Lytechinus pictus: one gene and its partner. The protein of the gene in region 2 purifies or fractionates together with the protein of the main gene of each other region. This does not show direct contact. Links are inferred from orthologs where the notes say so. Each region holds a gene or a part of one and is shown on either strand. Other genes may lie near its edges.

Region 1 (7,786 bases), on a different chromosome or scaffold from region 2:
CTACATGCTGTCATGAATATGCAACAGGCGAGCTGATGATGTCATGTCCCAACATTCCCTTCTCTTACATCATTACATGAAATTAAACCATACTTCATATTTTCATACATGTGTGTACTACCTTGTAAAAAATATGTAGCAGCAAGGATTTTCTGATACAATAAATCAGTTGTCAATCCATTTTTTCCTCATCCATAGAGGATAAAAATATAATTTTATATAATTTCATTCTCACCCCCCCCCCCCCCTGTTGAACTCTCCGTGTATCACATCATAATTGTCTCCCACAAAGTTTAATGTTGGACCATACTTACCACTGTAACAAAGTCCCTGTTTGTCAGCACAAAGAACTCCCATAACTCCAGGGGCATCCATTCTAAGAAAAATAGGAAAATAGACATGACAAATATATTGAAATTTATGCTGGTTGCCAAAATCTAATAGTTCCCTGACATCAATAAACAACTATGAGGCAACAACAATTTCACTGAAGTAACTCAAAAACTTACTGTATCTTATAAAATATTTGTGCTATCATGATAAATTTGATATAAAACAAATGAGTATTTAATGCCCCTTCATCACATTGCTTTGTCATCAGGAGCTGATGAATATTTAGGTGTAATTTTTTTCCCAAAGAATCTTCATAAATTAGATAAATTAGAATGAAAACTTGACAAAAACATTTCATACCTGTGCTAGTTTCTTCTCAACACAAACATTTCAGATTACACTTTTTTGTTCAGTGGTGACACATCATGACAGAAAATGTAATATAAATCATAGATTTGACATTTATATATTTTTATGAAACAATGTTTGAAAATATAATATCAAACAATAGAACACATTTGGCACGAATATTACTTTTTTTCTTCAAAGAAAATTCCACCTGAAATACACTTTAATTCCAACTGCATCCCAATCATGTGAAAGAGCTTAACACACTCTTTTATCTTTTATTTGATACCAAATTTGTCATGGTAGTATTTATATTTCTGAATATATAGTAAATTTTACGATTTTTGGCAAGTGAACGAATTTCAATGAATTCCATGGGTGTATGTAAACTTTTGGCCTCAACTGTGTAAGGGCGAAGTCTATGAATGGGTTTATTCCGTTATAATACACATTTAGACTTTAAGTCAAAGGTAGAGGGCGTTAAGGCGCATTGCGAACATTGAAAGAAGACAAATAATTTGCCTTAAATGCAGATGTAGAAAGATATATATATATACGCACTCACAGTGCAACTGCGTCCAACAGTAGAGGAAACCCATTTCCAGATATAAATTTCACAATTATTAAATATGTTTTAACTATAAATTTGATACTTATGGTAGGAGTGGAATCTCATCTTTAATTTGAGACCAACAGCATAGCAAATCACGCATGGTGGGTAAAAAACAATATTAAGGTCTTTAAGAAACAATTTGCGCAGAAACTCACGTAAAAATCCGAATAGACTCTTCAGGGATCAGTGAAAGAAACTTCACAAAGAATCCGAAAGAAATGCTAACGAGTCAATTATCGAATAAGCATGGTTGTCGTACACGAACCAATCTTGTCCAATTTTTCTGCACAACCTGATTTTTACATTAAAATTTCAAACTCATCTTGCTTATTAATGCGCAAAGTGTTTGTCACATATTAGGTATAAAAATGTAGAGGAATGATTGATTGTATGATGACATAAATGGAACATAATTAATTTGCCCTTGAAGAAAAATGATGTGGGGAACCCATTTTCCTTTTTTGTGGGATGCAGTGTAAATCTGGAGAAATAATTAATCTGCAAACTGAAACTGATGGGTTTAAAATTTAAGGAATATTTTTAAAAAAGGAAAAAACAATACAGGTTCAGATATGAGCAAAAGAAAATGTTTGTACAATATTAATGAAATGCACACTAACCTCGCATTTAGTGTGAGTTACATACATCTAAACCCAACTTGCCCGAAAGATACATGTACTTGCTCCTAAGCACTGCTTAGGAGTAAGTATCTTTCAGAATTTGCTAAGCAAAGTTCTGAAAACTTCATTTTTTTCCACATCCAGATATTTTATAGATCTAATTGGGCCTATGATTTCTTTATTCACAGGTTATATCATAACCTTGTTCATTGAATTGGTTCATTAAATGAGTGTTCACAGGCTTAAGATTTGTAAATGTCCAAAATGAAGTCATACCTGTTCATTTTTTAATATCTCTTTGTCTGATAGGGGTCTATGTTTTCCGTAATTATGAAGCTACATGAGCTAACCAAATCGTTGTTCTTGTTAACCAAATATCAACTGAATGAAATTGAGTCTGAGGATTTTTACTACGTTAATAAATAATAGCATGAGTGAGTGGCTAGTACTTTTATCATGGAGCTATAAGCCTATAATTCTTGGACTCGTAATCACATGAACAAACAAGGACCTTAACTCCCTTGATTTCTGCCGTCAGCAAAACAAAAACATAATTTCGAACAAAAACCACCCAAGGGTTCATTACATGCCGCCGCGCACAGAAAAATCAAGCCATAGAAGTCGTGTGTTGTGGACCCAAGAAGTGAGATCCCAGCACGCGCGACCCACTAGTTAGAAATCCACTGCCAAACGCGGTTCGTGGTGCGAGGCTAGTATACTAATACTAACCTCGCAATACGCGTGAGTGAACAAAAACTAGAACATAGAAGCTTACTGCTTTACATGAAATTGAACGCACGGGACTGGTATAAACTATAATTTCCATGTAAATATCCCCGCATACGACCTCGAAAAATTGAGTCTCCCTCACAATTTAAGAAAAATTACTATATAGTAATACTATACAGTATTAAATCAAGTTAAATACTCACGTGTCGTCTAAAAGTTTGTCGAGATTTTGTTCCATTTTTTAAAGAGAGTTTTCAATTTCAGACGGATCACGATTTATTGATACATGTTCTACTTTGTCATGTGACCGCGGAATATCATGTGATCGACCGTGCAGCTGTCCCTATATTCGTAGTCTGCGGGTACAGACCAAAATTTGCACTTAAATTAAAAAAAAAAGATGGTATCTACAGAAGTCTATCTGTATTTTCTGTACCTGGTACCGAGGATTTATAGCCATATAATTTTCATTTTTATCAGGTAGTCTAAAAAAACAACAACAGAGAACAGAGCACCATAATACGTTTCGATGAAGGGGGGGGGGGGGGGGCGGCCGGGGCCAGCTCCTGCGCCGAACGGAGCACCAGCCTCGATGCTCGAATCCATATTTTTTAAAGGTGTTTCTATTAATTTGCCCCCCCCCCCAAAAAAAAAAAAAAAAAAATGAAGAAGAAGAAGAATCGGGTAGCCTATCAACTCTATCTTGCTCTAGCGCATCGAAGGGGCGTTGAGAAAAAATTCACAAAAAAAAACACCTAAGTTTGTCATCCTTTTTGGCCACACACAAGAAAACTGACAAAGAAAGTGGTATTCCGGGGTGAAAATAATGATATGAACAGATAAAGAAAAATCAGACAAACACAGCACTGAAAATATGATCAAAATCGGACAAGGAATAACGAAGTTATTACAGATTTGCATTATATCACAGCTAGTCCTAAAGCGCATGTCTTCATTAAAGGACAAGTCCACCCCAACAAAGAGTTGATTTGAATAAAAAGAGAAAACTCCAACAAGCATAACACTGAAAATTTCATCAAAATCGGATGTAAAATAAGAAAGTTATGACATTTTAAAGTTTCGCTTAATTTCACAAAACAGTTATATGCACATCCTGGCTGGTATGCAAATGAGGAGACTATGATGTCATCCACTAACTATTTCTTTTGTATTTTATTATATGAAATATTCTAATTTGTTCCTCATTGTCAAGTGATACAACTATTAATTCCTCCCTGAACATGTGGAATTAGCATATTGTTCAATACTATATGGTTCATTCAAGTTGGTCCTTATGGTCAAATCTATAAAAAATGAAATATTGTATAATTCAAACAATAAAGAACAAAAGAAAAAGTGAGTGAAGGACATCATCGACTGACTCACCAAGTTGTGCATATCACTGTTTTGTGAAAAATAAGCGAAACTTTGAAATGTCATAACTTTCTTGTTTTACATCCGATTTTGATGAAATTTTCAGCACTATGCTAGTTAGATTTTCTCTATTTATTCAAGACAGCATTTTCCTAGGGTGGACTTGACCTTTAATATACAATGAGGAAACCGATGATGTGATATCCCCATCTGTTCTTTGTATTTTATTACATGAAAATGTGTTCATTCATATTTTGTACCACAAGAACTAAAAAAATTGGATTAAAAACTGGTTTAACGCATTAAATACTCATTGCTGCAACTGACTTTATTATGTGGTGAACATAATCATACACACATGCATGAAAATATGAAGTTATTATGATTTCATGTAATAATAACATAAGACAAGTGGAATGCCTCTGGCCGTCTCACCTGCATCACGCGATTCAATATAGCAGCAGTGCTGATTTTGAAAACTACTATAACTCGCACAAGATGTTCAGTGATACTTGGTTACTCTTATTTCCACGTTTTATGAACTAGACCAATACACTTATAGAGATATGATGGCAATTCAACAAGTACCCCCAACGTGGCCAAAGTTCTTTGACCTTACATGACCTTTGACCTTGATCATGTGACCTGAAACTCGCACAGGATGTTCAGTGATACTTGATTACTATTATGTCCAAGTTCTATGAACTAGACCAACACACTTTCAAATTTATGGCTGTAATTCAACAAATACCCCAATTTGGCCAAAGTTCATTGACCCTAAATGACCTTTGACCTTGATCATGTGACCTGAAACTTGCACAGGATGTTCAGTAATACTTGATTACTAGTATGTCCAAGTTTCATGAATCAGATCCATAAACTTTCAAAGTTATGATGGTAATTCAACAGATACCCCCAATTCGGCCAAAGTTCATTGACCCTAAATGACCTTTGACCTTGGTCATGTGATGTGAAACTCATGCAGGATGTTCAGTGATACTTGATTAACCTTATGTATAAGTTTCATGAACTAGGTCCATATATTTTCTAAGTTATGATGACATTTCAAAAACTTAACCTTAGGTTAAGATTTTGATGTTGATTCCCCCAACATGGTCTAAGTTCATTGACCCTAAATGACCTTTGACCTTGGTCATGTGACATGAAACTCAGGCAGGATGTTTAGTAATACTTGATTAACCTTATGGCCAAGTTTCATGAACTAGGTCCATATACTTTCTAAGTTATGCTGTCATTTCAAAAACTTAACCTCAGGTTAAGATTTGGTGTTGACGCCGCCGCCGCCGCCGTCGGAAAAGCGGCGCCTATAGTCTCACTCTGCTATGCAGGTGAGACAAAAATGAAGTGTGGCTATGACACCTAATGAATGTGCATATAACTCTTTTACAAAATATTGCTAAATTTTGAAATTCTATAATTTTATTATTTGTAATCAGATTTTGATGAAATTTTCAGAACTTGTTTGCTTGATGAATTTTACTCTATCATTTTCAGCCCGAAGTACCCCTTTAAGGAAAACACCTGACGATATACAAGTCATGATGTCGAAGTGACATTCACTGAGCAACGAGCTTCAATCCAATAATAAACATGCATGAAATTGTTAAATTTTCTGTTCTCTCCGATCCGAGTCTATCTCCCCGCCCCCCCCCCCCCCCTTCCGCTCCCTCTCTTCTCTCTTTCTATCTATCTTTCCCCATTTCACTCACTTTCTCGCCTTCCCTCCTTTCTAACAGTATCTTTTTTTAACATCTTCTTTCTCTCAGTTGTTTTCCCCCCAATTTTTAGATGTGTAAGATGCAGGGGGTAGCGTGTGTATGTAATGACGACCAGCCAAGTCAACTCCCCCTTGTTTTCTTATACTATCTAATAAATGATTCATTTTACTTTTAATGTGTTATACGGTCATGTTGGGCCCTCATTCACAAATACAATTATTTCCTATAGGAATAAAAAAATCTTCCACTGATTGCTTGTATTGTATTTGCAGAATTATTTTCTTTGTATTTTTTATGATTGGTGAAATAAACTAAAAACTTGAAGATTTGGGAAGAAATTAGTAGCAACAGCAGTTATCACTGTACAGACTGAACCAAAGTACATTGTAGAAATATACAATAAGACTCTTCACACACAATATAAATTACAACGAATGCAGTATATACTGTGGCAAGATATTTATTTTTCAATAATTCAACACAATTATCACCTTACTGGTAATATAGTTTGTTTTGAAAATTGGTGAATCGGAACAGTAGTATGGTCCGACGTTTTGGAGCTGACAAAAAGGCAAATATGTCATTTTGTCCGATGTCGATGTCACGGACGAAACTGTTGTTTCAATTCACCGACTTTCGATAAAGACTTCATTGTAATGAAGGGCATTTGACAATAGATTCTCCCCGTTCCAGATACTGTTCTGCATAGCGATTGCCATAACTCCCTATAATGAGTGACGCAATACGCCGTAAATTGTGACATCAGATGAGACTATCGATGGTGTTTTGGACTTATAATTATTTCATATGATTGATATGATATTAGTTAGGATAAATTTAGTTATGATATCTTTAATAATTATATAATACATCATAATGATTTTCTATCCTTCGGTATATATTCTCTACGACAAAACAGAACACTACAAAAAAAATAAGTAATTACAATCTAATTCATTAAAGGGGTATATATTCTAGCCAGAAAACCAAACTCCACACTAAATTTTCTTTAAATTTGACATGGAGCAATAATGTTAAGCCATTTTAATGTTTAGCATTATACATGTCATCATGAATAATTATGTACTAATCGAGCTGATGGATTTCACCCCCCCCCCCTACACACACACTTATTCTTTTGTACTTTATTATGTGAAATAATGTTTATTCACCATCGATAAGAATGTAAAAATATAATTGAACTGAACTGAATAGAATAACTTTATTGTCCATAAAGGAAATTCTTTTTTCACTGGTTTATACACACATGTATATACACAGAACAAAACAAAATATGATGAAAACATGTCAACATGAGGAAATAATTCCAACTCAGGTATACATGGTTCACTCAAAAATGTACAATACACAAGTATTTGAAATACAAGTCAATGTTAAAGTCGGGTTTAGGAATAAATTCATATTCTAGAATAATCATGTTTAGTTATACAAGTACTGTAGTTATCGGCAAGAAGTAATGGATCATGCTGATAGGATTGACTACTGTTCTGATGTATAAGATCATCACTGCTAAAACTTATACAGCCCACCTATTAGAAATTCATGACGGCATGCAGGCAGTTTGTTAGTCATGACTTGTGTTTTCAGAAAATGTATTGCTGAATAATGGGATTCACTAATTTCGTTTAAGGTCAAGTCCGAAACAAAGTTGATTTTAATAAAAAGAGAAAAACCAAACGAGCATAACACTCAAAATTTCATCAAAATCGGATGCAAAATAAGAAAGTTATGAAATTTTTCACTTTTGCTTTATTTCACACAATAGTTATATGCTCATCCCGGTCGGAATGCAAAAGAGGGAAATGATGACATCACTCACTCACTTTTTCTTTTGTATTTTATTTTAATAAATATGAAATATTCTAATTTTCTCCCCATTGTCCTGTAAAACAAAGTTTTATTTCTCACTGAACATGTGGAATCACCATTGTTTAACATTATATGGTTCAGTCAAGCTGGTCCTTATTGTCAAATCTGTAAAAATTGAAATATTGTATAATTCAAAAAAT
Region 2 (7,266 bases):
GCTTGTTTGATTTATCTCTTTTTATTCAAATCAATTTTTTGTCGGGGTAGACTTGTCCTTTAAATAAAAATAAATATACAGGTACTTTAAAAATATGAATAAAAACACTCTTTAGATTTCAATAAATATAATTATAGGAAAAATCCATTCATTTATTGGTTTGTTGGTTTTGATGAGTTGAAGAATGAGATGGGCAAAGTAGCCCACTTCAGTTCAGTTTATTTGCATCTACTCCAGTTTCTTTTTTAATCCCCTTTGATTGATGCTTGATTGACAATTTTAGTTGAACATAATTTTCTACCCCTAAATTCACATTTACACACCCTTTTGGTGTTTGGACTCACCTTCTTTTCTTCTCTGTCCCAGTCAAACTAGCTCCACTGAGATTACTACTCCCAGAGATGGGACTCTCTCGTAGTAAACTCACACTAGAAAGAACAAATCGACATATAAAAATATCAGCAAAATAATTCATTAACAAATAAAAGCAGATGTAGAGCTTTACAGAACTGAAGTGAAAGGGCAGGTCATAATTATAAAGGGCATCCAAAACAAACAAAACTGAAAACCATCAATGATTTATCATAACTTAATCACAAATAAAATTTAGACAAATTCAAAAAAAGTTAGAATTTTTTTTTTCACCTGGTATAAAGTTTAGATTCCTAATTCATGCACGAGTGAGTAAAAACAATATGAAGAAAGGATTCCCAAAGAAGTCACTTGGTGGGTAGCATCTGAATTACAAGAGAAAATCACTGAAAGCTTAATGTATTTGTTCTTTAATCTTTGATGAAAGGAAAAAAATCATGGCATGCAACGATCATATTTTAAAAACGTCTAGAACTATGTGAACTATATTGTACACGATATCGTCGGCTGGTAGGCTAGCGTTTGCATGGTCGCATCCGAACAATACATGTACGTGTACGTACATGTACGACGCTATTTGCCCCCTTTTCGATCCCATGATCCTTTGCATGAAGCTAATTACGTTTAGGTCTTGGATTATCCGATTAGATTAGACTTTGTCATTTAAATTTTGCATTTTTGCTCTTAAGTTTTTGTGCCTTGTGGTACATTTTGACATTTCAGTTTTTTCAGACAGAAAATAACAGTAGAGGCGCTGGTCAAAAAAGTGGGATTGTCCCAGTTTTCAAAGATTTCTCCACACAAGAAATCTATGAAAGTTCATTTACCTGTCAAGTGCTGACATCAACTAAGTGCGTTAGTCAATGTAAACATACTATTGTTAGGTTTCATAACAAGATTGGCAAGTCGTGAAAAAAAGATGGTGAACTGGAGGGAATTGAGGTCATTGAATCCATTTTTAGCACTCTCAATCCCGGTAATTGCCGTCTATGTCCCGCAGGGGTAAGTGAAAAAAAAAACGTCCCCATAAATCATGTCTTGAGAAACTGAGATTGTCCTTGTTTATGGGGCCCCATAAACAAGGACATTCCAGTTTCTCAAGACATGATTTGTCCTGGTTTATGAGGATATGTTTTCTGGGACAATCACAATTTTTGGACCAGCACCTCTAGCCTACTAGCCAGGAGGCTCCGAGAGAGTAAAAATCACTCACTAATGTATGCTTTCTCTCACGGAGCCAGGAATTGCGTCCCATTCAAGTGCGTGTACCGCAAAAAAAATGAAAATTTTGCCTCCGAGATTTCTACTTTCCTTCCAAAAGATAAATCATGTATGTAAATGGCTACTTCGTCTTTGTTTCATACATTTCTACAATATTGATTTAATTTTTAAACAAGAATTCATTTAAAAAAAAGAGAAAAATATGAAAGAGACAGGGAAAAATTGCCGCGATGTTTATGTCGCCATCTTTCTTTGTTTTTCGCCAAAGCAAAAGCTTTGGCGAGATATACCGGTACGGTATGATGGGGTGTCCAAACTTCGCTCACTTTTCAAAAATATTCATCAGGCTTAAATTTTTTCACAAAATATTCATAATTTATACAAAACCAATTTAAAAAATAGTTACCACATTGACGGCAAGATCGTAAACTATAAAATCATGGACGAAAACGTAAAGTAGGTCAAGGGGATTCGCCGGTATCGCGATCTCAAAATTCTATTCCGATCGGCGAATGCGCGCTGTGCTGGATAACCGTTCAGAAAAAGTGTGACCTAACTTCGCGGACCAAAGTTTTTGTGGACATTTAAGCAAAAACTCAAGCTCAAAAAGTGAAATATTTATATCAGATTGATGGCAAAATGCTATAGAATCGGTTAGTACCACATTTTAACTCAAATTTTTGATGATTTCTGCTTGCAAAATAGTGATATCGTGATGCTTGTTGAGAATATCAGATTTCTTCAAAACGGGCGCTAAACGTGACAAATTTGCCGATCTTTTGCCAATATTTTCATGAATACTGAACTCATCCTAAAGAAACTTACACCAAAGGGTAATTTTAGGTCGCTTTTCACGTTGATGATGTCAGATTTTAAGGATATTGGCTAGTTTTTTAGATAATGACCGTCCGCGAAGTATGGACACGCGCGAAGTTTGGACTCACTGCCATACAAGTCATAGCCTACTTGGCTACTGTCTCAGTGTCTGAATATAGATAAACTATTTCACATTTTCAGTGTTTTCACCCTTCTCTTCTTTTCATTACATGTAGCCTATAACGTTTGCTTTCTTGCATCGTCGCTTGCTTTGAGTTGGAGTCTATTGCCTGCCTAACAAGGCCAGCATTGCCATACTTGACTGGGCGTCTGGTCGGTCGGGCGCCGCTCGCGCTCCCGATCCCGTACGTACCGTACGCGTTAGGCTGGAATTCTACTCTATCTAAATTGGGTTCTCTGACGAGATCGCGAGATCTTGACTCACCTTCCTTTTCTACCCTCTGTTCCATTTAAAAGTGGTGCCTTCTCGCCGGTTTCATTATCCCTCGGAGTACCTGATCGAAAAGACATCCTTTCTTCTTTTGAAAATACAACCAGAATCAATAAGACACGGCAATATTCCGATTTATTTATCAAACATTTCTCCCTTGACTCGGACTTCGTCTTGACTTTGGTTTGACGGCTCTCGCAATAGTCGCATCACCCGACTTGCTTTTATCACATGACCTGTCACATGACGTGTTCATACAGTCAGTCCCATAGGCATAGCTATACTCTATAGAGATATATCTCTATGGTCAGTCCTCACCATAGAGATACCGTACGAGGTCCTGCACCCCATATAGATATCTCTATGACTTTATGCCTACTATGGTCCTCGCTCGCATACAGTCATGTCAGCGGACTTTATTTCCGAAAAACTCCGAAATGTTCTGGAACCAAATGGTTTTGAGATTCACCCTTTCAAGGTAACTTAGGCTTAAATATTCCTCGGAATTCGACACAAAAGTATCGACTAAGAGTAAGACCTAAGTAATTGTATTGTATTCATGGTATTGGAATAATGTCTGAAGCTTGCTAAACTAAGATTAAGAAGTTAGTAAACTTTTTAATTTTAGTTAGGCCTAGACCGATGCCGGGGACCGATGACATGTGCATCGGTTGCTGTTTGGTCTTTGGCCGGTCTTTGGATAATTCACTCTGCTGCTCAAATTGTATCTGATTCGTGTATATTACTGTCTGACTGTTGTGTAATTTTATCCTTGTACACCCCATTATAAAATATTGGGGTTTGGGAAGGATCGTTGATTCGTTAATCGTTGATAAACTGAACTGAAACTCAAAAACTATAGTCTATACATCCCAAGACCACTACTTACTTTTGTTTGGAAAAAAGTGTTTGTGTGGGCTTTGGCTCAAGTCTAAGACTAAACTTAAGTATTGTAATTCTTGCATGCGCATGAAAAAAGATGAAAAAGGACCAATCTCTCTTTCTTTTGTGTCCTTCCTCTGTTAAGGTCGGAGATTGTTGATAACAGCTAACTGAAGACAAATCTATCTGTGATTTGATTTTAATTTCTAATTTTAGGAGAAACATTTTTAATCAATTTTTTTTTAGATAAGAAAAATTTGCAATTTTTCTTGTATTTATTGAGGATTGAACAATGGTGACTTATGTTATATGATGTGTAGGACAGAGATCTATACTTTAATCAATTTTTTATATTACAAAATAAGAAAATGGACAATCAGCCTGTCCAACATTAATTAGTTACATGTACCCTTATAATATAGATGGGCTGGATGCTGATCGGTATTTTATAGATGGCAAATATAGCGATCTTCAACGCTTATATATAAGCGTCGAAATTTGTAGCCATCTCCTTGTATTAGTCTATAATATACGACGTGTCAAATTGTAGCGAACTAGTTCGCTATTTCCAGATCTCCTCTATATATATATACGAGGGGGAATTGTAGCGAACTAGTTCGCTATTTTCTAGATCTCCTCTATATACAAACGACGAGAAATTGTAGCGAACTAGTTCGCTATTTTTCGGATCTCCTCGATATATATACACGAGGGGGAATTGTAGCGAACTAGTTCGCTATTTTCCAGATCTCCTCTAGATACATACTACGGGATTTGTAGCGAACTAGTTCGCTATTTTTCGGATTTCCTCTATATATATATATACGACGGGAAATTGTAGCGAACTAGTTCGCTATTTTCCAGATCTCCTCTATATATATATACGACGGGAAATTGTAGCGAACAAGTTCGCTATTTTTCGGATCTCTTCTTTTGTAGCGAACTAGTTCGCTATTTTTCGGATCTCCTCTATATACGACGGAAAATTGTAGCGAACTAGTTCGCTATTTTTCGGATCTCCTCGATATATACACGAGGGGGAATTGTAGCGAACTAGTTCGCTATTTTCCAGATCTCCTCTAGATACATACTACGGGATTTGTTCGCTATTTTTCAAATTTCCTCTATATATATATACGACGGGAAATTGTAGTGAACTAGTTCGCTATTTCCAGATATCCTCTATATATATATACGAGGGGGAATTGTAGCGAACTAGTTCGCTATTTTCTAGATCTCCTCTATATACAAACGACGGGAAATTGTAGCGAACTAGTTCGCTTTTTTTCGGATCTCCTCGATATATACACGAGGAGGAATTGTAGCGAACTAGTTCGCTATTTTCCAGATCTCCTCTATATATATATACGACGGGAAATTGTAGCGAACTAGTTCGCTATTTTCCAGATCTCCTCTATATATATATACGACGGGAAATTGTAGCGAACTAGTTCGCTATTTTTCGGATCTCTTCTTTTGTAGCGAACTAGTTCGCTATTTTTCGGATCTCCTCTATATACGACGGAAAATTGTAGCGAACTAGTTCGCTATTTTTCGGATCTCCTCGATATATACACGAGGGGGAATTGTAGCGAACTAGTTCGCTATTTTCCAGATCTCCTCTAGATACATACTACGGGATTTGTTCGCTATTTTTCAAATTTCCTCTATATATATATACGACGGGAAATTGTAGCGAACTAGTTCGCTATTTCCAGATATCCTCTATATATATATACGAGGGGGAATTGTAGCGAACTAGTTCGCTATTTTCTAGATCTCCTCTATATACAAACGACGGGAAATTGTAGCGAACTAGTTCGCTATTTTTCGGATCTCCTCGATATATACACGAGGGGGAATTGTAGCGAACTAGTTCGCTATTTTCCAGATCTCCTCTATATATATATACGACGGGAAATTGTAGCGAACTAGTTCGCTATTTTCCAGATCTCCTCTATATATATATACGACGGGAAATTGTAGCGAACTAGTTCGCTATTTTCCAGATCTCCTCTAGATACATACTACGGGATTTGTAGCGAACTAGTTCGCTATTTTTCGGATTTCCTCTATATATACACGAGGGGGAATTGTAGCGAACTAGTTCGCTATTTTCCAGATCTCCTCTATATATATATACGACGGAAAATTGTAGCGAACTAGTTCGCTATTTTTCGGATCTTCTTTATAAAATTTTATACACGAGGAGGAATTGTAGTGAACTAGTTCGCTATTTTTCTAATCTTTATATATACAAGAGACGGAATTGTAGCGAACTAGTTCGCTACAATTCCCCCTCGTGTATATAATTTTATAGAGGAGATCCGAAAAGTAGCGAACTAGTTCGCTACAAAGCCCGTCGTATGGATATAGAGGAGATCTGGAAAATAGCGAACTAGTCTGCTACAATTTGACAATATGGCATCAATATATACAGCCAAAACCTGCAGATTTTCACTTTGAAGCCTTCACAATAATGTAAGCTTTGGAAAAAATGACAACTAGTTCGCTACAATTTCCCCCTCGTGTATATGAAGAGATCAGAAAAATTGCCATCTAGTTCGCTACAGTTTGCCATGTTTATATTTTAGAGAGGAGATGAGAAATGGCGAACAAGTTTGCAACAATTTCCTGTCGTATACATGTGGAGGAGATCCGAAAAATAGCGAACTACATGTAGTTTGCTACAATTCCCCCCTGGTGTATATATAGAGGAGATCCAAAAAAATAGCGAACTAGTTCGCTACAATGCCCCCTCATATATAGTTCGCTACAAATCCCGTCGTATGTATATAGAGGGGATCTGGAAAAATAAAAAAATAGCGAACTAGTTCGCTACAATTCCCCCTCGTGTACATATCGAGGAGATCCGAAAAATAGCGAACTAGTTCGCTACAAATCCCGTAGTATGTATATAGAGGAGATCTGGAAAATAGCGAACTAGTTCGCTACAATTCCCCTCGTGTATATATCGAGGAGATCCGAAAAATAGCGAACTAGTTCGCTACAATTTCCCGTCGTTTGTATATAGAGGAGATCTGGAAAATAGCGAACTAGTTCGCTACAATTCCCCCTCGTATATATATATATATATATAGAGGAGATCTGGAAATAGCGAACTAGTTCGCTACAATTTGACACGTCGTATATTATAGACTAATACAAGGAGATGGCTACAAATTTCGACGCTTATATATAAGCGTTGAAGATCGCTATATTTGCCATCTTATTATTTCCCGATGCTGATTCTTCATCTTTTTTTTTTTTTTGATAACTTTGTTAGAGTATGGTAGTGGATCGTATTACCGAACACTTTTCATGAATTCAATCATATCAAGCACATTATTCTCATAAAATTCACCAAACTTTCACCATAAATACACAATTACCTACAAAATATAAATATGTAAAATTTTTGCCGAAATAGTTTTTCCTTTTTACGATTTTTGCTTCCAATCGGACCCCTCTTCGCATGTGAAATATTTTGGTCACTTGAAAAAGGTATCGTATTACCGAACGTG

Evidence for each region. The genes of interacting proteins can lie anywhere in the genome.
Region 1: the proteins of sodium-coupled neutral amino acid transporter 9 homolog (region 2) and ragulator complex protein LAMTOR5-like purify together in Homo sapiens (co-immunoprecipitation; 5 studies listed by BioGRID and IntAct, with this or other methods). This does not show direct contact. The link is inferred for Lytechinus pictus from reciprocal best matches to the Homo sapiens genes SLC38A9 and LAMTOR5.

What each region holds. Positions count from the first base shown.
Region 1 is NC_087247.1:51,474,645-51,482,430, forward strand, and holds the start of ragulator complex protein LAMTOR5-like, read right to left. Parts: upstream 3,004-7,786; 5' UTR 2,882-3,003; coding exon 2,847-2,881; intron 377-2,846; coding exon 315-376; intron 1-314. UniProt on the Homo sapiens protein: As part of the Ragulator complex it is involved in amino acid sensing and activation of mTORC1, a signaling complex promoting cell growth in response to growth factors, energy levels, and amino acids.
Region 2 is NC_087255.1:21,677,597-21,684,862, forward strand, and holds the start of sodium-coupled neutral amino acid transporter 9 homolog, read right to left. Parts: upstream 3,065-7,266; 5' UTR 2,941-3,064; coding exon 2,855-2,940; exon of another isoform or gene 2,811-2,854; intron 429-2,810; coding exon 345-428; intron 1-344. Other genes in the region: cyanocobalamin reductase / alkylcobalamin dealkylase-like, read left to right, coding at 3,264-3,338.